7 linked regions of the Cricetulus griseus genome follow. The protein of the gene in region 1 purifies or fractionates together with the protein of each later gene. This does not show direct contact. Links are inferred from orthologs where the notes say so. Each region holds a gene or a part of one and is shown in the gene's direction. Other genes may lie near its edges.

Evidence for each region.
Region 2: the proteins of Polr3h (region 1) and Polr2e purify together in Homo sapiens (affinity purification with mass spectrometry; 6 studies listed by BioGRID and IntAct, counting the BioPlex papers as one, with this or other methods). This does not show direct contact. The link is inferred for Cricetulus griseus from reciprocal best matches to the Homo sapiens genes POLR3H and POLR2E.
Region 3: the proteins of Polr3h (region 1) and Polr3e purify together in Homo sapiens (affinity purification with mass spectrometry; 9 studies listed by BioGRID and IntAct, counting the BioPlex papers as one, with this or other methods). This does not show direct contact. The link is inferred for Cricetulus griseus from reciprocal best matches to the Homo sapiens genes POLR3H and POLR3E.
Region 4: the proteins of Polr3h (region 1) and protein POLR1D purify together in Homo sapiens (affinity purification with mass spectrometry; 6 studies listed by BioGRID and IntAct, with this or other methods). This does not show direct contact. The link is inferred for Cricetulus griseus from reciprocal best matches to the Homo sapiens genes POLR3H and POLR1D.
Region 5: the proteins of Polr3h (region 1) and Polr3g purify together in Homo sapiens (affinity purification with mass spectrometry; 5 studies listed by BioGRID and IntAct, with this or other methods). This does not show direct contact. The link is inferred for Cricetulus griseus from reciprocal best matches to the Homo sapiens genes POLR3H and POLR3G.
Region 6: the proteins of Polr3h (region 1) and DNA-directed RNA polymerase III subunit RPC10 purify together in Homo sapiens (affinity purification with mass spectrometry; 3 studies listed by BioGRID and IntAct, with this or other methods). This does not show direct contact. The link is inferred for Cricetulus griseus from reciprocal best matches to the Homo sapiens genes POLR3H and POLR3K.
Region 7: the proteins of Polr3h (region 1) and Polr3f purify together in Homo sapiens (affinity purification with mass spectrometry; 4 studies listed by BioGRID and IntAct, with this or other methods). This does not show direct contact. The link is inferred for Cricetulus griseus from reciprocal best matches to the Homo sapiens genes POLR3H and POLR3F.

The regions. Positions count from the first base shown.
Region 1 is NC_048595.1:379,057,081-379,060,580, reverse strand, and holds part of Polr3h (DNA-directed RNA polymerase III subunit RPC8), read left to right. Parts: intron 1-2,304; coding exon 2,305-2,391; intron 2,392-2,827; coding exon 2,828-2,891; intron 2,892-3,500.
Region 2 is NC_048598.1:100,836,432-100,840,589, reverse strand, and holds the start of Polr2e (DNA-directed RNA polymerases I, II, and III subunit RPABC1), read left to right. Parts: upstream 1-1,358; 5' UTR 1,359-1,460; coding exon 1,461-1,517; intron 1,518-3,131; coding exon 3,132-3,330; intron 3,331-4,158. UniProt on the Homo sapiens protein: DNA-dependent RNA polymerase catalyzes the transcription of DNA into RNA using the four ribonucleoside triphosphates as substrates.
Region 3 is NC_048596.1:79,735,656-79,739,945, reverse strand, and holds the start of Polr3e (DNA-directed RNA polymerase III subunit RPC5), read left to right. Parts: upstream 1-1,490; 5' UTR 1,491-1,649; intron 1,650-4,290. UniProt on the Homo sapiens protein: DNA-dependent RNA polymerase catalyzes the transcription of DNA into RNA using the four ribonucleoside triphosphates as substrates.
Region 4 is NC_048597.1:82,928,628-82,932,578, forward strand, and holds the start of protein POLR1D, read left to right. Parts: upstream 1-1,151; 5' UTR 1,152-1,252; coding exon 1,253-1,278; intron 1,279-2,082; coding exon of another isoform or gene 2,083-2,458; exon of another isoform or gene 2,459-2,638; intron 2,639-3,951. Other genes in the region: Polr1d (DNA-directed RNA polymerases I and III subunit RPAC2), read left to right, coding at 1,253-1,278, 2,083-2,458.
Region 5 is NC_048595.1:302,134,360-302,137,859, reverse strand, and holds part of Polr3g (DNA-directed RNA polymerase III subunit RPC7), read left to right. Parts: intron 1-1,827; coding exon 1,828-1,980; intron 1,981-3,500. UniProt on the Homo sapiens protein: DNA-dependent RNA polymerase catalyzes the transcription of DNA into RNA using the four ribonucleoside triphosphates as substrates.
Region 6 is NC_048599.1:60,488-64,726, reverse strand, and holds the start of DNA-directed RNA polymerase III subunit RPC10, read left to right. Parts: upstream 1-1,439; 5' UTR 1,440-1,519; coding exon 1,520-1,630; intron 1,631-3,057; coding exon 3,058-3,145; intron 3,146-4,239. UniProt on the Homo sapiens protein: Core component of RNA polymerase III (Pol III) which synthesizes small non-coding RNAs using the four ribonucleoside triphosphates as substrates. Can mediate Pol I proofreading of the nascent RNA transcript.
Region 7 is NC_048599.1:34,454,945-34,459,210, reverse strand, and holds the end of Polr3f (DNA-directed RNA polymerase III subunit RPC6), read left to right. Parts: intron 1-24; coding exon 25-216; intron 217-1,639; coding exon 1,640-1,717; 3' UTR 1,718-3,766; downstream 3,767-4,266. UniProt on the Homo sapiens protein: DNA-dependent RNA polymerase catalyzes the transcription of DNA into RNA using the four ribonucleoside triphosphates as substrates.

The DNA.
Region 1 (3,500 bases):
TGCTCACCCTGGGTCTCTTGTTTCATTGTGAAGATGTGTAAGTACTGAGCACTGGGTTAAGTACATCCCACAGATCTGTGTTTCAGTTCTAGTTTTGGCCCCTGGGATGGGGGCCTGGGTAGCTATTTTATTTGTCATACAGTGGGAAGTCCTTTGAGGGCCATGAGCACTGTAAGAGCATCCGGCCATGTCACAACCTCTGCTGCATGCAGGTTGAGGTCAGAAGTACAGTGTGTTCTCTCCTTTCAGCATTTGGGTCCTGGTGATGAAACTCTAGTGGTCAGACTTGGTGACAAGTCCTTTTATCCACTGAGCCATTTTGGAGTACCTGACCACTTCAGTGCCTCATGTGAGTGGAAAAGGGATTTGTTCTTTTCCAAGAGTTGTGTGGAGTACGTATCCTGGAATACATCTGTGCCGGCTAACTAAGAACAAGTGATTACCTTCCCACTCCACCCACTTAACCTCATGCCCCTGCCAGGGCAGGGGTGGGGGTGGCATGATGTTCTGAGGATGGAAACCCAGAGCCTCATGCCAACTTAGGTGTTCCGCCAGTATGTCACTTTTGTTTGTTTGTTTGTTTTGTTTTTTAATTTATTCAACTTTATTTTATCGGTAATGGTGTAAAGGTGCCAGGTGCCCTGGAACTGAAGTAATAGACAGTTGTGCAGTTTGAGCTGCCTTGTGGGTGCTGGGAAAGGAACCTGCATCTTCTGGAAGACCAGTCATTGCTTTTAACCACTGAGTCATCTGTCCAGCCCCTGTGCCACATCTTCTAGCCGTTGGTTGTTTTTTAAGACAGGGTTTCTCTGCATAGCCCTGACTGTCCTGGAGCTCACCCTGTATATCATGCGGGCCTTGAAGTCACAGAGATCTGCTTCCAGGGTGCTGGGATTAAAGGTGTATGCCACCATGTCCAGCTTCAGCCTTCCTTTTTGAGGCTGATTAATGTATTGTGTGTGTACACTGAGCTTTTGTTCATTCATTAGTCAGTGGAGATGGGCTGCTCACCACTTACCTTTAGATGTAGTGTTCAGGCCCTGGGCACTAGCTTACACGCTGTTTGTCCTGCCCGCTAGGCCCATGCCAAATGAAGCCTGGCAGAAGCTTTTAGCTGAACGCTAGGTCATGTGGAGGGCAGTGTTTTTCCATCCGTGGGTAAGTGGCCCATGTCTGCTCCTGGCTGTATTCTGGAAAGTTAGCAGAAGACGAAGTCATCTTCAGGATGTTTGTCATCTTACGGGGTAGTGTGCAGGAAGACAGGTAGACAGAGCTGGGCAAGGGAGGACACTGAAGGAGTCCTGGTAAAAACCTGTGCTAGGATTGAGCCTGTCTGAAGAAAGACTTTAGAGCCGTGGTTCTCAACCTGTGGTTCATGACCCCTTTGGGTGGCATATCAAATATCCCGTATAATCAGGCATTTACATTGCAATTCACAACGCAAGTAGCAAAATTACAGTTATGATGAAGTAGCAACAAAAATAATTTTATGGTTGGGGGTCACTACAACATGAGCATTAGGAAGGTTGAGAATCACTGGCCTAAAGGCTTCCCGTTGCAGAATGGGCAGGAAAGCTGTGTGGTTGGAATAGGTCACCCAGCCTCTCTGAACTATCTCTTCCTCTGTTTGGTGGAAACATGGCATCTGGCACAGGCGGTTCATACAGGCAGTTGGCTAATGGCAGAGGGCATCTTCCTGTTTGAGAGGGTCAGTGACAGGTGTGGCATCTGCTAAGGCCAGTAGTCATTCTGATGTGAATACAGCTTTAGCCACTTGGGTTCAAGTGAGTGGGGAGCACATAGGACAAGGCCTGAGAACCCAGGAAGGCTTTCCCCACGTGTCTTCCATCACCACAGGCAGCCTTGTCATTTTAGTTTTCTATCCCAGGTCAGCTCTGTGCTGAGGGTAAGCTTGCCCAGGCGTCAACAGATGGGGACTTCCAAGTCTGGCCAGTTGCTGCTGTCTTTTTAGAATGCAAAGGACAGCCTGGAGGGACTTTGGAATTGACTTTGGAGTCACCAATGGCCCAGAATTGAGGCTCAGGTGTGATGGAGATTATTTGGAAACCAGCCTTAGTCCAGGGCAGCAGCTGCTGCCCGTCCCTTTGGAGACCAAGCTGTGACCTTGCAGAAATGAGGGAGGGTCGGTTCTCTGGCTTGGCAGACAGGTCCAGACCTTGGCATGGACCATTGGGTAAGTGTACTGGCAGTGAAGTTGACGTTGGTGAACATGATCAGCCCCAAGTTCCATGGCTGTCATGGAGGGTCTGGTGTACCTGACAACAGTATTCCCTTCTTTTCCAGTCCATTTCCGATATGTGGTGTTTCACCCATTCCTGGATGAGATTCTCATCGGGAAGATCAAAGGCTGCAGCCCAGAGGGTGTGCATGGTAAAAGGGGTGACTTCTGGGGTGAGACTAGAACACAGGGTGGGCAGTGTATCCAGCTGAATCTTCCCTATGGCATCAGAGAAACTGCCCAGCTAAAGGGCCAAGCAAGGGGTGCCCCATCCCTCATGCATGGAGTAAGAGCCTCATTCAACCGTCACTCTAAGGACACAGCTTAGGATCTGAGGATGGGTACTGAGCTGGCTGGTGGAGGAGACAGGCTCGCAGTGCCTATGGGTCCCTGGGTGTGCAGTGAGCACTCTGGATACTTGGAGCTTTGCCCAGGGTTGCTCAGTGCATGTTGGTAGTATAGTTAGATGTGGGGCTTTGAGGCAGGAGGGGACAGATTACAGGCTTGCTTTGCAGTGTCCAGCCATCTCTTCTGGGTTGTTCCTTTGAAGTCCCCATCCCATGCCTTCATGTTCTTCATTTCTTCCAGTCTCTTTAGGGTTCTTCGATGACATTCTCATCCCCCCTGAGTCACTGCAACAGCCTGCCAAGTTGTATCCTTTCAAGGTTAATGTGCCACCATCACCTTTCTGGGGCTGTTTTAATGGGACTGTCACTGGTCATGGTCTTGGGAGAGAGGCTCAGATGGCCTGTCACAATTGAACTTAATCATAGCTCCCAGCAGTAGCATGACATGGAGAATGCAGTGTGCCACTAGAGGGCAGTATGGCTATGTAGGCTATGGGGGAAGAGCAGAGCTCAGCCTCTGCTTGTGCCCAGGCCTGTGTGGGCAGAGGTAGGGTTTAAATGAGACTCTGACTTGTCAGCAAATCTGGCCTTGCCTTATGTTCCTCAGGCAGGTGACATTCAAACCTACCTCATCTTCTGGAGACCAGGGCAAGCCCATGATCTACCCGTCTGTCACATTAGTTATGAGGCTTGAATGAGAAGTGTGGGGTCCCTGGTCATTCAAATTTCCAGACTTGGGAATGTCATTCTCACTTTGGGTCCTGGCAAAAACTAGCTCCTCTCCAAGGAACAGGAGCAGCTTTTACTGGGACTTCCCAGCCAAAATAGGCTCAAACTGAGTTGGTTTTAACTTGGGTTAGTACTTAAGAGGACCCTCAGCCTCATGAACTCCCTAAGCATGATTATGGCCTTGA
Region 2 (4,158 bases), on another chromosome or scaffold:
AGGCCTCCCAAGGATACAAGAGACCTCAAAGCATGCCCCCATGGTGACACACTTCCCCCAACAAGGCCACACCTACTCCAACAAAGTCACACCTCTCAACAATTCCTTTGGAGGCTGCCTCCTTTCAAACCACCACAGGAGGTAAGATCAGAGGAGGGACTCCTACAGACAGGCACTTGCATGTATCCTTACACTTTGGACTGACTCCCCTCAGTGGCACCAATTATTTTCCTAATGTCCCAGGTACTCAGGCTCTGCCCATTCATTACCACCGAGAATGAGAGAGTTGTCTGAAAGTAGTGGTTCAGGACTTTAATCCCGGTACTCAGGAGACAGAGGCAGTCAGATGGTCAGATCTCTGTGAGTTAGAGATCAGTGTGGTCTACAGACAAGTTCTGGGATAGCCAGAGCTACACAGTGAAACCCTGTCTCAAAACAAAACAAAACCAACCACCGAAAGAATGAGAGGGTTGTTGTCACCTGAAAGTTAATGACAAGGGCTCCTCCCCATACCAAAAACCAAAACAAACCCCACAAAAACCCCCAGGGTCTGGTCAGGAGCTCAGAGAGAGAGATTTGCCCACCAGAGTGCTGGGACCAAATGCACCCACCATTGCTCCCAGATCTAGATATGTTTTTCCAAAAACGTATTGTGTCTCTATCCCCTTACTCTGCGTTTGTGGCTTCTATAACCAGGGTGTCCCAGGCGCAGCCCAGTTTTGCAGCCCATGCAGTGGGTTCAGTGGTCAGACAGACTTGGTGGGGGCCTCGCTAGTTTGCTGGAAACTTGCCTTTCCAAGTCAGGGTCAGCACAGGTTCCCAGGCAGGAATTAGAGATGACCTGCGGACTCTGAGGACAAGCTCGGGCGGGACAGAATGGGAGGTATGGCGAGCATCTGGTTTTCCAGTGCTGGCCATGCTGGTACACGCCTTTAATTCTAGACTGAGACAACCTGGTTTATATATCAAATTTCAGGCCGGCCAGGGCTCACAGTGAACCACCCCACCCCCCAAAGAGGAAAAAGATACATAGACATTTCTTTTTGTTGTTGTTTTGTTTTTTGAGTCAGGGTTCCTCTGTATAACAGCCCTGGCGGTCCTGTCGCTCTGCACACCCGGCTGGTCTCGAACTCTCAGAGATCCGCCTGCCTCTGGCTCCCCAGGGCGGCGTTAAAGGCGTGGCCTACGCGCCCAGTTCCCTCTCGAGAACTCTTAAGCTGTGACGGCCAAGTATCGCGACATTTTCTCGATGGTGGTCTCGCGCAGCGGATCGCCGGGGCTGCCCGCTACGCAGCCTAAGGTGGAAGTCGCGTTTCCAGGCGGAAGACAGAACAGAGCTCGCTGAGCGGGAAGGGGAGGGCTTTCCGTTGTTCCGCGCAGACGCTTTGCGTGCGCAGGAGTGGGAGGAGCTCTTTTCGGCTTCGGCGCAGGCGCAGCGGTTCCCGGGCGACGGCGGCAGCATGGACGACGAGGAGGAGACCTACCGGCTGTGGAAGATCCGCAAGACCATCATGCAGGCGAGTGACCGGCCGGCCTCCAGCCCGCACCCTGCCTCGGGAGGGCTGCTGCGCGCTCACACCGCGCTTATGGGGGCCGGAGGGAGAGACTCGGGGTTCTCTGCGCGCTCACACCGCGCTTATGGGGACCGGAGGAGGGAAACTCTGGGTTCTCTGCGCGCTCACACCGCGTTTATGGGGGCCGGAGGGAGAGACTCGGGGTTCTCTGCGTGCTCACACCGTGTTTATGGGGGGCCGGAGGGAGAGACTCTGGGTTCTCTGCGTGCTCACACCGCGCTTATGGGGGCCGGAGGAGGGAAACTCGGGGTTCTCTGCGCGCTCACACCGCGCTTATGGGGGGCTGGAGGGAGAGACTCGGGGTTCTCTGCGCGCTCACATCGCGCTTATGGGGGCCGGAGGGAGAGACTCGGGGTTCTCTGCGCGCTCACACCGCGCTTATGGGGGGCTGGAGGGAGAAACTCGGGGTTCTCTGCGCGCTCACACCGCGCTTATGGGAGCCGGAGGGAGAGACTCGGGGTTCTCTGCGTGCTCACACCGTGTTTATGGGGGGCCGGAGGGAGAGACTCTGGGTTCTCTGCCTGCGGGGCAGCCCTCCACCCACTTAGCCCAGGCCCCAGCATCCACACGGCAGCTCACAACCATCTGTAACCCTGGTTTGAGCGGGTCTGACGCACTTTTCTCGACTGTTTCACACAGAGTGAAAAACAATATTTGAAAAAAACAAAAAACAGTTTTGCCCCGGCGTAGTGACAGAGAGAAGCCTTTAACGACAGCACTGGGGAGGCACAGGCAGGTGATCTCTGTAAGTTCGAAGCTAGCCTGATCTACATTAGCGAGTTCCAGGACAGTCAGGGCTTTGTAGAGAAGCCTTGTCTTAAGAAACCAAAATAAAGAAAAGGTAAAAATACTAATCTGGTAGCACATACCTTTCATCCCATCACTCTTGGGCCCGAGGCCAGTCAGTCTCTTGAGTTCAAGACCAGCCTGGCCTATTTGAAAGTTTGAAGTCACTCAGGGCTTCATTGTGAGACCCTGTCCCAAGAAACTTAGGTTGGCTGGGAAGTGGTGGTCCACACCTTTAATCCCAGCACTCAGAGGGCTGAGGCAGGCGGATCTCTGTGAGTTCAAGACCAACCTGTTCTACAGAGGGAGTTCTAGGACATCAGGGCTACACAGAGAAACCCTGTCTCTGAACAACAAAAGACAAAAAGAAGGAGACGAAGAGGGAAGAGACAGACCAGACCCCAGTTGAGAAAGAGGCCTGCATAGTTTTAATTTTTGCGTTGGGTGGACCCCAGGGCCTGGTCTCTCAGGCCTGCCCCTCAACCCGATGCTGGATTACACTCTACTCTTCCCTCATCACGCCTAAGACCAAACAGGAAGAGTGGGTGGGGGCACTGAGAGGTGGAAGTTGCCAGGGGATCTACCCTAGCCTGCCCAGTGAGGCTGGGGTGGGGTGGGGCCTGGTTGGGGACCAGACTGTGGCTTGGCCAGTACTGCTGGGTCACTTAAGTGCTCCTCCTCATGCTATCCCCGAGCAGCCCAGGCTGTTCAGGGATAGGTCTGGCACTGTAGTCCCGGAGTTCATGCTGAGTGTTCATTTCCTCTCTAAAGACAGGTGATTCTTTGTCTCTGCAGCTGTGTCATGACCGTGGCTACCTGGTGACCCAGGATGAGCTGGACCAGACACTTGAGGAGTTCAAGGCTCAGTTTGGGGACAAACCCAGTGAAGGAAGACCCAGGCGCACAGACCTGACAGTGCTGGTGGCCCACAACGATGATCCCACAGACCAGATGTTTGTGTTCTTCCCAGGTGAGGCCCCTTGGACCAGTAACAGAGGCCTGATTCTGGGGTCCCATAATTCTGGTGGCATTCCCCAGTCCCTGGCTCAGGTGCCAGTTAAGGTAACATGTCACAGCCCTCCCTCTGTGGTCTTCCTGCTCTCTGTCCAGCCAGTGAGGGTGGGTACCACCCAGGCCCAGCCTTGCCTGCAGGACTACTGTAGTCGCCAGCCTGCTTTTGTCCCTGCCTCCCCTGGAAACCTTCCCTTGTTTGGTTGGTGTCCATTCTCTGCCCCTTGAGTCCCAGCACCAGCTCTTGGGCCCTCTGGCTCCCATCTGCTGTGTTGTGTAGTTTCTGCCTTACAGCCCAGGCACTTCTGAAAGTGGGAGGGGTGCTATTAAAGAGCCTGAGCCCTTCTTGTGCAGCTGCCTCCTGGTCTCCCCAGACAGTCTGTTGCCTTCAATACCTTTGAGGTCCTGGGGCCTGTGAGAATTAGGGGTGCAGGGATAGGCGTGGCATCATATGCCCATAACCCCAGAACCTGGCAGACACAGACGAGGCAGGTGGTCAAGAACAGCCTGGTCTATACAGTGAGTGCTAGGACAGCTATGTAGAGCAGTGGTTCTCAACCTTCCTAATGCTGTGACCCTTTATAAAAACAGTTCCTCACGTTGTGGTGACCCCCAACCCTAACATTCCTATCTGTAATTTTGCTGTTTGGAGTCATAATGTAAATACTCATGTTTTCCTATGGTCTCAAAGGGTCAGGACCAATGGGTTGAGAACACTGATGCAAGAAGTCCCTGTCTCAAAAAGAAAAAATATACTGGGAGTGTTGAGTCTGAGATCCAGCAGTTT
Region 3 (4,290 bases), on another chromosome or scaffold:
CTCTCTCTCTCTCTCTCTCTCTCTCTCTCTCTCTTTCTTTCTTTCTTTCTTTGTTGTGTGGGTGTGTGTGTCAGAGAACAATTTGTGGGATTCATTCTCCTATCTTGTGTGTTCCAGGGATTGGACTCAAGGTTCTCAGACTTATCGGCAAGCACCCCTAATTGCTGAGCCATCTAGCAGTACTTGGGATGTGGGACCAGGAGACGCAGGAGTTCAAATGCATCTTTAGCTAGATAACAAGTTCAAAGCCAGCCTGGGCCCAATGAGCCCTTAACTCAAAACCACAAATACACATATGTATGTGCAAAAGTATATGCAGGAATGAGTTTAATTCTAGGTGGTGGGAATATGGGTGACTTTTTTCACTGTGTCTTTTTCAGTCTTTTAACGTATGGGGCTGGTTTCAGCGAGTAAAGACACTTGCCTGCAAGGCAGACAATCTAAGCCGCCCCCACATGGTGGGAAGAGAGAATATACTCCAGCAAGTCTGTACTCTGACCTCCACAACATGCCGCCCCTATAAACAAATAAATAAAATAAATGTAAAAGCCTGTATGTGTACATCAACATGCATAGATACTTACAAATGGTAAAAACAAAAGAAAAATGAAAAGCCTGGTGAAAAAACTAGCCAGCTCTCTATGCGTTAGTATGTTAATAAATATTTATATACCAACCCATACACAATATGAACAAAACTGTTTTTCCATGGAGATACACATCCATAGAAACCGACAGCGAAAGATCCGAAAGGATGTATAATCAGCCGATAATGGTGGTTACGAGGAAACTAAAGCAAGTCAAAGGTTAAAGAATTATTATGTTGAATATTACGAAGATTATATGCGAAGTTTTAATATTGTTTGCGTACTAAAAATTTAAACACGTGACTTTTCAGACAGAACTGTGCAGATGTGGGGTCATGGTTCGCTTCTCAGAGCTGGGGTGAGAGTTACTGCCAGGATCAGTCTCCAAGACACCTAATTCGGGTTGTGTAGGTGACGGCGTGGTTTAACTGGACGCGTTAACCATCAGAACGCGATTTAAACTGCTTTTTGCTTTAAAGCTTATTTGGAACAAGCTCGGATATAAATAATTTAATTTTAATAGTTGGCGTTTTAACAATATTGTTTGTGACAATTTCTATCAGGAGTAGATAAAACACAAATACAACCCCCGAAAAATTATAAGAAACAAACAAAAAAAATGTATGCATGTGTTAGAACATTAAGTAGCTTCTTAGAAGGCCAGATGAGCAGCTGGGTAGCGTGGCCGAGCGGTCTAAGGCGCTGGATTAAGGCTCCAGTCTCTTCGGGGGCGTGGGTTCGAATCCCACCGCTGCCAGGATCAGTGTTTTTTCCTACCTTAACCCTGAGCTACTTTTTGCCGCCCCAGCGGCGACCTCTGCAGTTGGTTCTCGTTCTCTGCACCACGAGTAGCTCGCCGAAGGGGCGGGCCCGCGCGCTCTGGGGCGGGGCATTGTGGGTAAGAGGAAGCGCGAGGGCCGGCCCCGCTCCCCCCACGTGTCCGCCGGAGTTTCTCCAGCAGCAACATGGCCGCTGCCTAATAGGAGACCCGGCCGCCACCGTCTCTGCAGCCCGCGGGTCCCTGGGCCGTTGCCGCCGCTCGCGCGCGGCCCTGGCTGAGAGGTGAGTGCCGACTCGGCAGCCCCGGGGTTCCGGCCGCAGCCGTCGCACTCGCGCGGAGGTCTGGGCCTCTCTGCGGAGTAGGCCGGAGAGGCCCGCGCCGCTGCGTGCTGAGGGGCCGCGGCCTCCCGGGACCCGGGCGGGGCGCACGGGCAGCCGCCTCGCTTTCCCGGTCGCTCCGCACGGCTGGACGTCGGGGAGGCGACGACCGTGGGGCCCGCGCTGACTCAGGCCTCGGCCGCGCTGCCCCGCCCGGGCCTGGCTCCGGAGCCGCACCTGCGAGAGCACTGGTGCCCGGTAGCTTGCGGCTCTCGGAGGTGTGGGAAGGGCGCCTGAGCACCGGCGACATGGAGAAAGCTATGGGACGTCAGGGCCGCCCGCATGGGCCGGGGTCTGCGTCCTAGCTGAACCGGGTCAACCCTTGCTGGTGGTGCCGGGCCCGGGGCGCCTCATTGATTGATCTGTGCTTAAGCAGAGTCAAAAGGCGACTGCTCCTCAGACCCTGGGACTCTTCAGTCACGGGGGGTGGCGGTGCTTAAACCAGGTCGTCCTGCAGTTGTAATTGCCTTTAGGGTTTCTGGGTTTCGGAGCGAAAAGGTATCTGCGAAATGGGGATAACGTGATTCCTGTTACAAGAGGGTAAGATGGGTGACATCTCCTGCTTTTCATTTGTGGCTGTCTTCGTTTCATCCTATTTGAAGAAAACATGTTGCCACGTAGCAACAGTCATTCATTCATGGATGTTCCACTTTTCTCTTTGAAGCCGGTGCTTTTTTTTTTTTTTTATTGCCGGCTTAGGGATGAAAATAGGAAAGGACCCAAGGTTATGCAATTCATGCTTTCTGTCAGCTGGTACGTTGCGCAGAGGTGGGATTTGAACCTGTAAGGTTTCGCACGGGAGTCCGACCTCTTACCCACTACACCATACTGCCTTTTATCAAAGATGTGTGCAGCATAGTGGTTAAGAATAAAATCAAGACTCATTGACACCTGCTAGACGGATTTCTTGATTATACTGTTCCCTGGGGCTGTGCCCTTGGGCAAATCATAAGTTGGGCACTATAAATTTTGAATTGCACAGCTAATGAGAATGAATATTTTTGGTAGTATATTGATGCCAGACAGCATTAGGGTTTAGGAGAAGGGCTGTGAATTTTTTTTTTTTTAATTTTACAAGTAATGACCCTATAACAACGGTGAAGTATAATTATTATGTCTACTTGATGGTTGAGGAATATGAAGCATAGAGAAGCCTTCGTAGAGTTCAAAGTCTAGTGCAGAGGATAGCCAACACCTGAGCAGCAAATAGAGAAGTTCCAGGTTAGGACCACTCAGGAAATAAGGGATTGTGTTAATGGTGGAAAGAGTTGGAGGCAGCTATTCAAATTGGGTTTTCACTAAACCTGTCTAGTCCTGGAGGGAGGGGCAATGCTTACATTTAAGGAAAATGAGCATCCTGAAAATGACCTGGGATTCTTGTGCAGAGGTCCTCGGGATGCGTGGGGATTGGCCTGTTGGAGGCTCAGTGATAGATTACCAGTCCCTGAGGAGATGGTTATGTGGAACCTGGCAAGATCGTGTAAGGGCTTACAGGCCCATGAAAGGGAGTTTGGGTTTTGTTTTATGGTACAGTTGAAGGGTTTCAAGAAGAGAGCAATGTGAGTAGTTACTACAGAGACGGGAGGTCCTCTGGAGAGATAGGAAAGAATGGCCCTACGAAAGCTTTTTTTTTTTTTTTTTTTTTTTTAGCTTTTTTTGTTTGTTTTGTGTCTATTATTATTATTATTTTTTTTTTTCAGATGAGGCCTTGCTATATAATAGCCTAGGATGCCCTTAAATTTCTCTCCTAAGCCTTAAATTTCCTCCCTAAGCCTCCCTAGGGCTGGTATCGCAGGCCTGGGCCACCACAGCTGACTCAGGAGGCTTATTGGATTGTTGACTTTGAAGATTGCAGGTTAAGACTTAGTGAGCTGGGCCGTGGTGATATACGCCTTAAATCCCAGCACTTGGGAGGCAGAGGCAGGAGGATCTCTGTGAGTTCAAGGCCAGCCAGAGCTGTTACAGAACTCTTGTCTCAGAAAATAAAAAAACACCACCAAAAAATGTATTAGTGAGTGATGTAAACTTGGCCTGGGGGTCTTGCCACCAGCATTTTTATTTTGCATAGGCAAGGATAGAAAATAGAAAACATCACTGTGTGGCATGTAACAATCATATTACATGAAGTACTGTTTCAGCTGTGGCATTCCATGTATCTTCTGCATCATTGTTGGGAAAAGATTATTGTCAGTCATAGGCTGAAACTTTGAAAGCCACTGAATTGGCTCCTGTTGGTTGGGAGGCTAACAAGAGGTGATGACCTTTGCAGGTAACCCAATCAGGTGTGGTGCCCAGAGGGAGGAGCCTCTGTCATCCTGCAGAGAGGGCACCTGATCCTGCCTGATTCCAAGACTGGCAGAATCTCAGCCGTGAAAGAATAACTAGAGCTGAAGACTCTCTTAGGCCACAGCCTCTTTTTGCATGTGCTGTGTTTCATTGATTCCCCCTGAAGTCCTGTCTCAGTTGGCCACAAAGTACAGCTGCCTAAAGGGCAGGTACTTGTTTGACCCATATCTGTGACACTTGGCAGCCAGTGCAGATGCAC
Region 4 (3,951 bases), on another chromosome or scaffold:
ACCGCCCGCACCTGAGGCGAAGTAACTCACTCAGGGAAAGCGGCGGGCTCCTCGCAGGAGCGCTGACGAGGACGCCGCCCGGCTCCACTCCGCCGGGACTCACCGCCGCCGATTTCCTGGCGAGAAGCAAAGTCCGGCCAAGACTTCACTTCTCAACCGCCCCTGCTGCCTTTCCCCTCGGGGGCGAGCGCAGGGGCCCAACCCGACACGCACCTGAGCCAATCAGCGGCGGAGAAAGGCGGGACTAAGAGCGGGCTCTGAGTCTTTCGGCCAATCAAGGAGCTCGAGGGGCCAGACCGGCCCTGCTCATCACTCCCGAGTTAGAGTGAGCACGCTCCGCCCTCCGCCATCGCTCCCGGCCGGATTCTCTCAGACACACACAGAGAAGACGCTCGGGAAGTGTCTGCTTGCACCCCGGAGCGCCGCGCCGGCCGTGGGACAGCTGAAGGGAGGGGAGGGCTGCGGGACCAGGCTGAGGGAGAACAGGTGGTGCGGGGTGGCTGACGTGTAGGTGTGCGCTAGAGGACAGCTGGGGTGGGGCGGGGACCCAGCCTGGCCAGGGTCAGGTGGGAACTGGGAGGATGCACCTGAGGGGAAGAGAAGGGCGGCTCCTTGGGATCAAAGGGGAAAGGAACCGCAGGTCCACAGTGGGTAAACCCGAGCTCCTGGGGAAGGAGGGCGGTGCTCCAAACTCATACTTCTCTCCGAAAAGAAAGACAAACGCTGCCTTGCACCTGATGGAGATGTGCATTTGCACCCCAGGGAGAAAAATGCTCCCTGTAAACCTCAGTATGGTCAGAAGAGTCATCTCTGCACACAAGTCTCTCTGCTTTTTCAAGGTTGCAAGGTGCCCTACGAAAGGCTCCAAAGGACTCCAGTCCGGGGGGGGGAAGACAGTCCCGGGGCAGTACCGTCCCTGGTGGGTCTAGCAGATGAGAGGTTCAACTCCGACCCTAAACAGCAGTGTCTGGGGGCGACAGGCGAGGGACTGCTTGCACCGTAGCCTCCTAGCTTCCGCAGTTCCAGGTGAGCGGTCCGGCCCGCACGGGGCGTGGCTGGGGCGTGTTCTGTTTTCGCCCCGCCCCTCCATCGGGTCCTGCCGCGCCGCTGCGGCTCCGCCCCCCTCCTTCCGTCATCCGCTTCTTCCGTCGGTGGTTTCTTCCTTCCTGCTTCGCCCGCATCTTTCGCGATATGGGGAAGAGCGTCCTTTTCGGCAGCACCACCTGAGGATTTCCTGGAGCCGCCCCTCGCGATGGAAGAGGATCAGGAGCTGGAGAGGTAAGGTTGGAGGGGAAGAGTGGAGGGGGCGGCGGGCCGGGCCAGCGAAGCGGGTAGCGACCGGGCACGCGGCCGACTGCGGCCCGGCGGGGCGGCTAGGCCTGACCCGAGGCGCTGGGCAAGGGAAGATCGAGAGTAGAGCCGAGCGGGTTGGGAAGAGGGAGGAGAAGCGGTGGTGGGTTTGTTTATACAGAAAAGCTCAGAGGGACACTAGCCATCCTGGAGGGGAGAGAAGTTGGGAATCCAGCTCTAAGTGCCAAACTGCCATCCCCATTAGAACTGCCTCGTGTAAGGTCACGCACCGGGCGGTGCTGGCATGTTAAGTCGGCTAAAGTTACTGCAACTCCGCTCTGCAGACTGCTCGTAAATTCTTTCTGACCGCCAAATTCTTCCTCCTATTAAACTTTTCACTTCCTTTGACTTACTAGTTTCCTTACCTCTTTCAAAGGGAAGCCATAACTGAGCCTGCCACCTTAATAACTTGTGGTTGCCATTTTTATGCTAAAGTAATCGTGTTTTTTATGCCTGTCAACTCCCATTTCATCTTTCAGCAGGGCCTACCCTATTATAACTCTGCCCCTTTCTTTTTCTCTATTCAAAGAAAGATTTTGCAAACATTTGTGTTTATTTTCTGAGATGACTCCCCTTGTGGGCAATATATCAAATGGAGTAGAGAGAAACTCGAGTTAAATATTTATGTATAGAAGTATCGGAGGCAGGAAACTGAGGTGGTGAATCTTAAAAAGCTTAATCACAAAATGGTATCCCATATGATCTCATTCTTACAAAAAAATATGTGTGTAGAAAAATGTCAGGATTGAAGACCTCAATGGCCGAAGGCGAGAGGAAGACAGCCTTGGAAATGGTCCAGGCAGCTGGAACAGATAGACAGTGTGTGACATTTGTACTGCACGAGGAGGACCATACCCTAGGAAATTCTCTTCGGTACATGATCATGAAGAACCCGGAAGTGGAATTTTGTGGTTACACTACGACCCATCCTTCAGAGAGCAAAATTAATTTGCGAATTCAGACACGGGGTACCCTTCCAGCTGTTGAACCGTTTCAGAAAGGCCTGAATGAGCTCATGAATGTCTGCCAACATGTGCTTGACAAGTTTGAGGCCAGCATAAAGGATTATAAGGATCAAAAGGCAAGCAGAAATGAACCCACTTTCTAGTCCCTCGTGCAGGGTACAAGGAGGATCACCCTCATGATGGTGCAGATCCCAAAGCTAGAGTTTGTGATTGAAGCATGTTCTGTCTTATAGGAAGGTGTGGTTCCAGCTGTTGACCCATTACAGCTGTTGGAATCTCTGCAAGTATATTTGCCTAATAAATTCTCTCTTTTGTTTAAACTAGTTTGAGTGGTTTCTCTTCCTTGTACCTAGGTGATCCCCAAGGATGGTGCCACCCCTTACTTGGACCAACACAGAAAGTGAACGGATAATTGGGCCAATTTGAGGGTTTTGATCATGGATTTTTGTTTGTTTGTTTGTCTGTTTTGTTTTTGTTTTTTTCGAGACAGGGTTTCTCTGTGTAGCTTTGGAGCCTATCCTGGCACTCCCTCTGGAGACCAGGCTGGCCTCGAACTCACAGAGATCCGCCTGCCTCTGCCTCCTGAGTGCTGGGATTAAAGGCGTGCGCCACCAATGCCCGGCTTGATCATGGATATTAAAAGGGCTATTCATTTCTGTATGATTGGAGTGCTGAGGAAGGGGAGATGGAATAAAACATAAACCGTAGACTGTATTTAAAAAGGCAGGAAAAGATTGGCAGAGGGACTTGAGTTTTTTTTTAACCATTTACTTTGTGTGTGTGTGTGTACCAGCATGCCATGACACAGGTGGAAGTCGGGGGACAACTTGTGGGAGTTGATTCTCTCCATCATATGGGATCCATTTAGAGTTTGTCAGGCTTGGTGGCAAGCATCTTTACCCACTGAGCCATCTTGCCAGCCCTGGATTTTTATTAATGTAAATGCATCCTTTCATATGATTGGTAGACCTAGTAAGGATGAGGATAATTAGAAGGACTCTTGAGAATTTTAACTTTTCATGAGAATTTTTTGTTGTTGCTTTCTTCATGAGAATTTGAATTGGCATCAAGGTCCATCTTTGTAGTATTTGTAGGATAGATAACCAGTTTACTGCTTGAGTTCCAGAGCACTCATGAAATATAGAATTATGATGAGTAAACCGAATACTTTTTTATTGTTTTGTGTGGGCATGTTCGTGTGGACACTTGTATGCATATGGAGGCCAGAGATCAGCCTTAAGGATGGTTGGTTCATCAGGAACCACCTACTTATTGTTTGTTTTGAGACAATCTGGCTGGCTTGGAACTCACTTTGTAAACTCAAAGATTTACTTGCCCCTGCCTTAATAATCTCCCACATGCTGGGATGAAGGGAGTTTGTTAATTAACTAGGCTACCTGACTAGAAAGCCCTAGGGGCCCCACCTGTGTCTGTCTCCTGAGCACCGGGGATTACAGACCTACACATCATCCTACCCAACTCTTTTATATGGGTTCTAGAGACTGAACTCCATCCTTGTGTTTTCACAGCAAGTTTTTTACCACCTGAGTTGTTTCCCTGGCCCCAATTTTAATGGAAAAAAATGACTTATCAGGTAACATCTTCATTCCTTAGGTAGGTATGTAAATAGAGCCCA
Region 5 (3,500 bases), about 77 Mb from region 1:
TATTTGTTTTTGTTTTTAATAAAACTATTTAGTTTATAATTATGAAATAATTAGTGGCTGTCTTTCCAGATCACAGAATATATTTTTCACAGAGTAAAATAAATTATATAATTGAATTTAGCTATAGGCCTTGTTACTTACGATTTAGTTAAATTAGAAAATGCACAATACCTTATATTAATTAATATTAATGTAGCATCGTGAGTGTGTCAGATATATCAAAGGTTTGTGAAAATTTTGTTCACTTGAGATTTTCCAAGAAAATTGACAGTTGAGAAATTGTACACAAGGTATTGCTGTAATAACTGCCAAGGCAACACAAGGTTTGATTTTAATTTGGTCTGCTTGAGTGAGGTGAGTTGCAAGCAAGATAGCTTGATTTATTTAAAAATTGAGTATTATGTGCTTAAGAGGTGGCTCAATAGATAAAGCATTCACTGTGCAACCATAACAACTGCAGCTCCAAGCCCCAGCATGCACACAACGTCAGGTGAGCCTGTAGCTACCTATAATCCCAGCACCTGGGAAACAGAGAGAAGGGATCCCGAAGGCAAGCAACGGGCTGCCAAAACTAGCCAGAACCCGTTTTACTAAATTAAATGGAGAGTGACTGAGGAAGATATCCAATGTCAGCTTCCAGTCTTCACATGCATGTCTACACACACGAACATATTAATGCACACCCGTGCATTCACACATATACAAACATTCAAAGGTGATCCATTTAAATTGGGTCTGTTTAATGTGGCCTTTTCTTTGCCTTTGATTTTCTTCACTTAAAATTGGAATTAAAATAATTTTTTGTTTGTTTTGTTTCGGTTTTGGTTTTTCAAGACAGGGTTTCTCAGTGTAGCTTTGGAGCCTGTCGTGGAACTCACTCTGTAGACCAGGCTAGCCTCAAACTCACATAGATCTGCCTGCCTCTGCATCCCAAGTGCTGGGATTTTAAAAGAATTTTTAAAGTAAATATTTAGGGAGTTAAAGAAGAGCTAAGTTGAAGTTATTCTGGATGTAAAATAGCTTTTCTTGTTCATGAGTAATTGACAAAGTCTTAAAGAGAGATGGAGAATGCCTACACATTTTTATTAGTTACTCTTCTAATTACTGGGTTAAGACCAATCAGAAATTAGTCATGTGAAGCCTAAATTATGAAGATGCAAAATGATTATTGTACCCAGCTCCCAGAAAACCTGTGAAATTCTGTCCCTTATGTAAAGTGAGGGTCATCTAACTTAGTGAACTGAGAGCAACAGAAATAAAAATGGGTCACCTTTGTCAATTGAAAAAAAAAAATGGCAGTCATGAGGTGTTTATAAAATTCAAATTGTGAGGTTGTGGCATGGTGAGTTTTCAAGTATCAATAGAATCATCAAGACTCCCCAACTCTGTTTCTCTTCCTTATTTCTAGGATGGCTCATAATGGCTGGTGTGTTCACTTACTTTCGTTTTAATCCCCTTTTCACAACCTTCCAGATGTATCACGAAGCAGAAAATCTTGGGAATGGGAAGTAATGAAAGACAAAGGAGATGGGAAGGGGATAAACTAAATCATGCCACACATTTTAGGAGGAGGTAGGATAGGAAACATGAAAAGCAAGCATTGTAGATTAGAATTCTAACCCCAGGTTAGCAAAGCCCAATGATTAAGTCACAAAATTGAAGAATGGGACAGCATGGTGGGTGACCTTTCCTTGAGTTTCTGAGGTGGGAGGCTGGCGGGCGTGTGTTAATTTAGGATTAGCCTAAAATGATCCATAATTCTTCTCTTTGGGCTGGGTATGTAAGAATAGTTGTTTCAGTGGAAATTAATGAATCTCCCTTTACCAGGAACTAGAAAAGAGAGGCGATGGTGAAAAATCGGATGAAGAGAATGAAGAGAAAGAAGGGAGCAAAAAGAAAAATAAAGATGGCGATGACGATGATGATGATGACAATGATGAAGCAGAGCAAGAGGAGTACGATGAAGAGGAACAAGAGGAGGTAAAAGTCTGAGGATGATGAGAGCTGCTCCCTAACTTCAGAGATATCCTATGGCATGGAATGTCAGTCAGCATACAAAACCACGCCTGTAATACTAGCAAACTCAAGAATAGGGTGCGAGGGGTTTGAGGAGCTGGGGCTACAAGGTGAGACCTTGTCACAAACACAAAACCCTAAGTTTATTGAACCAAAAATGCATTCTTATCCTGGCATCAGGTGCTTGGTATGAAATGATAGTAATACAAAATGAAAACCAGCAGATAAGAGTAACTTGATTGACAGCTTTTGCAAGTAAGGAATTAAGGAAATTGATGAGAGTAGTACAGTTCATACTTACCAACATAAGAAGCTAAGACAGCAGCTGAGGTACCAAAGGGCATAGGCACATACGTCTAGAAGGAAATCCCAACAAGGCCATCATGTCTCAAATTCCCAAGTTCATGTGGACAGAAGCAGTGTGACAGCTGCCGAGGTATTGGTAAACTAGGTTGCTTCACTTCAATTTTAGAATCAATATTTTTTCTATTTTTTTCACCTTTTTGTGATGTCTATAGTTCTCTTTCTACTGTTTTGTATATCTGCATTTAACATATTTAATCTCTTGTTGATCTCGTTCTTTGCTTTACAGAAGCTTCTCAGTTTTCAGAGGTCCATTTATTAATTGTTGCTCTCAGAGTCTGTGCGACTGCTGTTCTCTTTAGGAAGTGGTCTCCTGTGCCTATGCGTTCATGTGTATTTCCCACTTTCTCTTCTATGAGGTTCAGTGTGGATGGATTTATATTGAGGACTTTGACCCATTTGGATTTGAGCTTTGTTCGTAGCGATAAATACGGATCTTGCGTTCTTCTACCCATTGACAGCCAGTTATACAACACCATTTGTTCAATCTATTTTCTTTTTTCCATTTTATATTTTTAGCTTCTTTGTCAAAAATTAGGTGTTCATAGGTGTGTGGGTTGATATTGGGGTTTTCGATTCAATTCCTTTTGTCTACCTGTCTATTTTTATGCCAATACCAAGCTTTTCATTTTCATTACTATAGCTCTATAGTAGAGCTTGAAATCAGGGATAGTGATGCCCCCAGATGATCCTTTATTGTACAGGGTTGTTTTGGCTATCCTGGGTTTTTGTTTTTCCATATGAAGTTGAGTATTGTTCTTTCAAGGTCTGTGAAGATTTATGCTGGGATTTTAATGGGGGTTGCATTGAATCTGCAGATTACTTTTGGTAGGATTGCCATTTTTACTGTGTTGATCCTACCTATCCAAGAACATGGGAGATCTTTCCATTTTCTGATATCTTCTTTAATTTCTTTCTTTAAAGACTTGAAGTTCCTGTCATACAGGTCTTTCACTTAGTTGGTTAGAGTTACACCAAGGTATTTTGTTATTTATGGCTATTGTAAAGGAGATGTTTCTGATATCCTTCTCAGCCCATTTGTCATCTGTATATAGGAAAGCTACTGATTTTTTTTTAGTTAATCCTGTATCCTGTTACATTATGGAAGGTTTTTATCAGTT
Region 6 (4,239 bases), on another chromosome or scaffold:
TCCCCTCCTTCCTCTCTTCCCGCTCCTCCCACCTCCCATCCACCACTCCTTGGTTCAGAAAGCCGCGAACTTCCCATGGGCGTCAACAAAGCATGATATATTAAGTTGAGGCAGGACCAAGCTTCTCTCCCTGCATCAAGGCTGGGTGAGGCATCCCAGCATCGGGAACAGGTTCCAAAAAGCCAGCTCATGCGCCAGGGACAGGTCCTGATCCCACTACTAGGGGCTTCACAAACAGGGCAAGCTAAACAACTGTCACCCACATGCAGTGGGCCTAAATCGGTCTGATGCAGGCTCCCTAGCTCCCACTATCTCAGGTCAGCTGTTTCTGGGTTCCCCAAGTTACGATCTTGACTCCCTCTTACTCGTACAATTCCTCCTCCCTGACTGTGGATCTCTGCATCTGCTTCCATCAGTTACTGGATGAATGCTCTCTGGTGACAATTAGCGCAGTCACCAATTACAGGAGAAGGCCAAGTGCTCTTAAGCTGAACCATTTAGCCCCTTCGTAGTGCTTTCCTATTTCACGCATGACCTTCGGCTTAGTGGTGGCACCGCCCACAACGGGCTGCGTCCACTTCTATCAATTTGCATTCAAGAAAATGCCCCATTGAGTTACCTACTTATAAGTCTGATAGAGACATTTTCCCAATTGGGATTCCTCTTCTAGATAACTAACTTGTTAAAGTTAATAAAACAAAACAAAAACAAAAAACCCACAGGAGTCACCCCAACCCCTCCCTGTGTAGGTTATAGAATTCTTGCAGAGGATTAAGGAGGTAAGACATTTAAAAGAGGTCTGAGAAGGCAGAACTGGGAAACGTAAAGGAGTCTATAGGAATGAGACAAAAGAACCAGATGGAGGTCTGTGGAGAGGAACTGCTGGTATTGTAGGTCAGAGTTGATCTGTAGAATTGAATCTAGTGAAATGGCATAAGTGAAATAAGTGAAATGGCAGAACTGGGACCAGGTGAAGAAATGGTCAGATTGGAAAGATGGTAAGTACAGATAGACAGGTATTCATACGTTAGGCAGACAGCAGCAGAGAGGTAGTATCAACACTAGGGGCTGAATTAAAGTCCCTGGGACATTAGGTTAGTCTCTGCCTGTCAGTCCCGGCTCAGAAGATGCGAAGCAGCCGGTCCTGCGCCACTGTGACAAGACCTTCCTGAACACGTCCATGGCTCGGAGTGCGGCACTGTCTTCTCATCACCTGTACCTCCCTCCGAACCTTATTCCCGGGTAGGTCAGGCGTGTCAGCTGCCAGCCCCATCTCTCGGGCCATTTAAGCCTGTGCTTGCGTCAGGGAGATCCGTGCGCACGCGCAGGCATTACAGGAAAGCTGGGAAGGCAGACAGCGCACTATTGGAGGGTGGGAAGGACTATCTGCGTTGACCAATGGCATGTGAGAGCTGCCTGCCGCAGTGCCTTCTGGGTACGTGCCAGTGGCCGCTTCTATTGGGCGTCTGCGGCCGCGGAAGCTTTAGACAGTAAGAGCTTACTTGTTGGATCTGCAGCAATGTTGCTTTTCTGTCCGAGCTGTGGAAACGGACTAATTGTGGAGGAGGGACAGCGTTGCCATCGTTTCGCCTGCAACACTTGCCCCTACGTGCATAATATCACACGCAAGGTGAGTCCCAGAGGCGAGCGCCTCCTCCACTGTCGGTGCGCTCAGACTTCCTGCGGGCGGTAGTTTTTTTTTTTGCTCACCTGTGGAAGTACCTCAAGTTCAGTAGTTGGTAATCCAGTGGCATCGCTCCGGCCAAATCGAAGCCACTCTTCTGGTCACTTCAGAGATTTCTGCCTCTGGCTCTCTGCTGCCGGTTTTGTGACACCCAAAAGGTTGCGAGATTTCCGTTTTACCTCTAGGCTGAACCACGCCTTTAAAACCTACAGCTGTCCTCCGCACGCCAGGCTCCAATACGCTTATCACCTTCTCTGATCTCAAATCTTAATGTTCTTTTTGTGGCTCTTCTTGCTCCCAGATCCTGTCGCTATTCTGGAGGATCTTACCTCCAAAAGTGCACGCAGTACTGTTAGCTCCTTCACGTTCCTTTCGCCCGAGTTTTCTTTCCCAACGAGCCATTTGGCGCTCTCTCTCTCTCTCTCTCTCTCTCTCTCTCTCTCTCTCTCTCTCTCTCTCTCTCTCTCTCTCCTCCCTCCCTCCCTCCCTCGGTGTGGGTATGTCTGTCTGTTTCTCTCTTCCTTTTCCTTTATCTCTCTCCCTCTCCCTCTCCCTTTTGGCTGTTGGTACATGCCTATAATTCCATCACGTGGAGAGGCTGTGGCAGGAGATTAAGTTCAAGGCTCACCTGGGCTGCATAGCATATGTATATGAAAATTAAGTAAACGAAGAAACCAAACCCAGCTCTTCCAGTTTATTCTCATTCCTTTTTCTTTTCCCAGGATTCATCGTCTTCTAATATATGTCATTGTTGCTGCTTTGTGTGTGTGGTGCTTGTGTTGGAACCCAGAGAAGCTGCTTTTACAGCCCTTTGTATTGTCTACCTTTCCATTCTTGTTCCTCCTTAACTCAGTGTCCTGAGTTCTGTGATTTCAGATGTGTATCATCAGGCCTTGGTGATACCTCATTTTTAATGTTTGCACTTAAGAGCTGTATGGTAGGAGTTTGGAGTCTGGATATGTGATAAGATTGAATGGTGACATAATTTTTGAAAATTGAAGGATGACTAAAGCAACGAAATGTGTCCCTGGGAATGCTGGGATACCCAGATAAATGGTGCTATTAGGCTTTTGTCTGTCTTTCATGTTGGGTTATTAGGGGTATGAGAGAAGAGCATGGTTTAACTCAGCTGTCTTCCTGCACTGTCTGCTGTTTCCTCCAGTTTCTAGGGGTCTCTGACATTGAAACTGTGCTGTTTTGGGAATATCTCAGTCACAAAACCCCTACATTTTAATGGCTCTTGTCGCTCTTTGAAGAAGATAAATTTTGTATCCATTTACTGAGTAGAGGAAATGCTGGAGGAAAGTTATAGTTTGGTGGCCTGCTTTTAAAACTATATGATTTCTTAAAATCTGATGACTTGTTTTTGTTAGGTAACAAACCGAAAGTATCCAAAGCTGAAAGAAGTGGATGATGTGCTTGGTGGAGCAGCTGCCTGGGAGAATGTGGACTCTACTGCAGGTGAGAATTTTCCCATTACAGAGCCAGTGACTCAACCCTATTTATTATTACTTATTATTATACTTAATAATAATAAATTTATTGTTATTTATTATAATGCAACCCTGTATATTGTTAGGACCAGTAAGATGGCTCAGCAGGTAAAAGCACTTGTTTCCAAACCTGTTAACCTGAGTTTGATACTTGGAGCCCAGATAGTATAAGGAGACAGCTGATTCATGAAAAGTTGTTTACCAACTCCCACCCCCTCAACCAGTAGTTATAAAAGAATTTAAGAAAATATAAACAATAATGACAAATAGCTTGTGTTTGCCAATACAGGAAATATTTTGATATGTTGTAGTCACAATATAGTCATTCTTTAAACTCTAAGCAAGGCATTAAGACCTTTTTGTTTGTTTGATTTTGTGTTTTGAGACAGGGTTTCTCTGTGTAGCCCTGGGTGTCCTGGAACTCTCTCTGTAGACCATGCTGGCCTCGAACTCAGAGATCCATTTGCCTGCCTGCCATGTGATAGGTTTAAAGGCATGTGCACCACCACCTGGCCATATTAAATTTTTTTAAAGCAGATTTCTTTCAAGGATTAAATATACTGAAAGGAAAATCACCATATTGATACCTGCTCTGTTGTTTCATTTAGATTCTCAGGACAGATATGGGCAAGTATAAGTAAAAATCTGGTACATATTCTCTTCTTGAAACAAATTTGGGGTTTATTACAAAAAAGTTTCAATGTTGATTTAAACTTAAATATTGATGGTTGTTGAGAGGAGGCGAGAGGTGTAAAAGGACAGTTGTCCATGCTCTAGTGGGTACAGGCTTCTCAAGAGAATTCTGTTGTATGTATTTTCAAATACCAATATTGTAAAAATGATTAGCCCTAGTCTTTTTTTATTTTTAAAAATGTTTATTAAATTAAAAACAATAAAAAAATCTTATTTTACATACCAATCCCAATTCCCTCTCCATCCTGTCCTTCATTCCCCCCCCCATCTCCTCATTCCATCCCCTATCTCAAAATAAAACAAAAGCCTCTACTCATTTTCCACTTTCAAGGCTTTTGCTTATTTTTGAGATAGAATCTTGCTGTGTAG
Region 7 (4,266 bases), on another chromosome or scaffold:
GCTTTCTAACGTCCCCGTCTCTAGGTAGAGTTGTCTATGGAGGACATAGAAACCATCCTGAACACACTCATTTATGATGGGAAAGTGGAGATGACGATCATTGCTGCAAAGGAAGGCACTGTCGGCAGTGTAGATGGACACATGAAACTGTACAGGGCAGTCAACCCAATCCTCCCACCTACAGGCTTAGTCCGGGCACCCTGTGGACTCTGCCCCGTAAGTAAAAGCTGCTTCATTTTGTACTTTTATCACCACCATGTGCAAATGCCACATAAAGAAACAACAGGCACACCAGGCTTCCCACCAGCAAGTGTCACCTGAGCTATTCAAACTGCCACAGACTCTTGATAGACAGATTGTTAATGAACAGGTCTTACATTATTTCTTGGAGCATTCAGGGTAGGGACATGTCCTTCTGTTCTTGACCCTGAAATGGATACATTTTCATCGGGACTAACCATTTCTTCTCTGTAGGGAGGGAAATGAAATTTGTTCAAAAGCTGCCACGAGCCAAACTTATTCTAATCCTTCTGTGCCCAGGGCACTAGTGGTGTTATTTCCCCTAAGGAGTGAGAGAACTTAGGGCTGAGTGTAACTCAGTGGCAGAGCACATGCTTAGTATACACATGGCCTTTCGCCCCAGGTTTTAACCCCTAGTGCCCTCCCCCCAGAACAGAAGGAACTTAGACTTAAGCAGAAAGTATCACTTTGAATAAGTATAATTTTTTTTCCATTATGCTTTAGCACTTTCACTCATTCATTCCTAGGTAGTTCGTAAACACGGTGCTGGACATCCTGAGGCTACAGAGAGCAAAAGCACTCCCTATCCCTGTGGCATTTATATTCTTGGGCTGCTATTCTGACATATTCATTATGATAACCCTTGTCTGTACCTATAAGCTCTCTGTGACCCAGTTTCAACTCCTAAACAAAAGCCAACATCCTGTACATCCTACTTTACACCCTGTAAAGATAGTTAAGCATAAAACAACCTTCAATTTAGTACAAATTAAGTTGTTCATAAGTATAGGACTCACTTTCTTCACTCCTATGAACCAGCTGATAGCCTTTTACCAGTGGGCAGGTGAATGGGATCACCTTTATGATGTGTTAATAGGCCTCCAAGCTAGGCAGGATAGTGTACACCTTTAATCCCAGCACTTGTTAGGCAGAGCTTTGTGAGTTTCAGACCTGCCTGTTCTACATAGGGAGTTCTAGGACAGCTGGGACTATATAGTGAGACACTGTCTCAAAAAAAACAAAAACAAGCTAAAAACAAAAAGCTTATAAAAAGTTGACTATGATCACAAGGTAGGCACTGTTATATTGTGCTCCTAAATACAGTCCTAATCCAATTCAAATAGTGTTTTCTTTTTTTCTTGTGTTAGTACTGCTTTAAATCAATGGGGGTTTAGGTATTTTAAAACTTCAATTTGAAGCCGGTGGTAGTGGCGGCGCAGGCCTTTAATCCCAGCTCTTGGGAGGCAGAGGCAGGTGGATCTTTGTGAGTTCGAGGCCAGCCTGGTCTACAGAAGGAGTACCAGGACAGCCTCCAAAGCTACAGAGAAACCCTGTCTCGAAAAACAAAACAAAAAAGCTTCAATTTGAATGTGAACTTTTTTTTGTGTTTCTTTTTAAGGTTTTTGATGACTGCCATGAAGGTGGTGAGATTTCACCATCTAATTGTATTTACATGACAGAGTGGCTCGAATTTTAATAGAGAGCTGTGAATTTTACTTACATTTGGCAAATGAATTACTTGGAGAGCAAATAATTCATGATAGAACATCCAGTTTCTTTGAAAGCATACTTCTCTATGATGGATACTGACTTGCTGCTATGAAAACGTATTTATTTCCGAAGACAGAACACAAAGCAGATGAAGTTTAATAAAGTTTAATAGGGAAGTCTCTTCAAGAAAATACCTTGAAGCTCTGGAAAAGAAGCCAGCAAACCTACACTGACCAAGTACTGCGATAACAGATAGAGCGTGAAGGTGACATGTAAAGTTACTTGTTAATGTCTTCATTGAAACTCATCATATCAGGTTTATTATCACCATTTCTGTTGGTTCGTTCTTGGGTTTCATTGAGAGGAACAGCTGACGATGGGATGTGTGCAGACTTGGGGCCTGAATGTAAAGTGGACATCCGTTTTCCACACTGTCCATTCCTCTTCACTTCAGCAGCACTGTTTCAGGAGAGCATGCTGCCACACTGACTTTGTGTCCAGGACAGGAGTTTAGATCAGTGGTAGTCCATCCTAAAGGGGATAATCTCCCAACTCCTTTGTTGTTAAGGTTGTAAATCTCTCTGTATGGCTTAACTGTACTACTTGCCAGAATTTTTTCCAGATTCTTACTTCATGCCTATAGTTTGACCCTCTCTGCCATCAGCATCAAATTCAAATTTTGTAATCTAATCCCCATGTGCGATGTGATAAGTAGGACCTTTGGAAGGTGACAGATCGTGAGTGTAGAGTCCTCATGAGTGGAATTAGGGCCTGTATAGAAGACACCCAAAGTGTTCTGTTGGCTCTTTATCATTCCAGAGCACAGGGGAAAGAATAAGGATGTGGGCCCTTGTTAGACAGTAAATCTACCAGCACATTCGACTTCCCAGCTAGAAGCAGTTCTCAGTCTGTAGGTTGCAACCCCTTTGGGGTTTGAACAACCCTTTTAAGGGTTTGTCTGAGATCTTCAGAAAACAGACATTTACTTTACAGTTCATAACAGTAGCAACATTATAGTTACACAGTAGCAAAAAAAATAATTTTATGGTTGGGATGAGGACAACATGAGGAACTGTATTAAAGGGTCGCAGCATTACGAAAGTTGAAAACCAGTGATCTATTGTGTTCTATCAAAGCAGATAGAAGAGATAGTATCTAATATTTTAACTAAACTAAAACTAGCTGGGTATGATGGTGCACTCTTTTAATCCTAGTACTTGCGAGGCAGAGGTAGGTAGATCTTGGTTAATTTGAGACCCTTGGTTAATTTGGCCTACATAGTGAGTTCCAGGACAGCCAGGGCTATAGAGAAAGAGACCCTGTCTCAAAAAATAACAGTAGATCATTGCCCTTCGTTTTGAGGGGTGAGAACCTGTCTTTTACAGTATTTTAGATCGGTCTCCTTTTTTCTTCTTCTTTTCTAAAAACATGGAGTGCTGTGTCTAAGCAGAAAAAAAATCACTGTAGTTTGTTAGTCCCAGCACTGGGCACTGGAAAACACTAATTGTCGTGCTGTTACACAGAAGATAGCCATATGCCTTTTATGGATCTCAGTGGTTGATATTTGCTTTCCCTCTCCCTCTCCCTCTCCCTCTCCTCTTTTGAGACAAAGTTTTTCTGTATGGCCCTGGCTATCCTGAAACTTTAGACCATGTTGACCTTGAATTCAGAGATCCACCTGCCTCTGCCTCTGAGTGCTGGAATTAAAGGACTCTTCTACTATGTCTACTTTACTTTGTGTCTTAAAAGTTTCTTTATGTGAAACATGGGCCAACTGAAAGGGTTCACACTCCACCCTTGTATTCTGTCTTTTTGTTTTATTTTGTTGGAGAAGAGTCTTACTCTACACTGGAGTTCACTTTATGGTCTAGGCTGGCCTTGAACTTATGGTGGTTCTGCTTTAGCCTCCCAAGTGCTGGGATTACAGGCATTTAGCAGCCATGCCTGGCTTTCTATTATCTTGGTAATTAGATACTAAGTTTTAAATTTGCTGTGTCCCTTGCCTCACCAGAATAAAAAGGTACTTGAAAAGGTTTTCTTCATAGCATTTTTTTTTACTGGGTAGTTTTTGTAGCATATTATTTAATCTATTAACTGAAAGGGATAGATAAATATAACAAAATGTAGCAACTGTGCTGTAAATAAAATGAATTTGCCTACAGAAATAAGCTGTTATCCTTGGCCTCTAAAATCATGGTGCCACAAAGCAAAACTGCAGATGAAGTCCAGATACTTCAGTCTTTCTCAGTATTACGTATTTTGCTTACCTGAGAACATATACTCTAGTCTCTTTAAAAGTGGCCCATAAAAAGAAAATTAGACATTGCCAGTCATGGTGGTGCATGCCTTTAATTTCAGCACTTGGGAGACAGGCAGGTCCAGGCGGATCTCTTGAGTTCAAGGCCAGCCTGATCCTACAGAGAGAGTTCCAGGACAGCCAGGGATACACAGAGAAACCTGTCTCGGAAAAACAAAACAAATTGACATAAGTCCACTTAATGGTTTTTCATGGATTCTCACGTGAAACTCCCAATT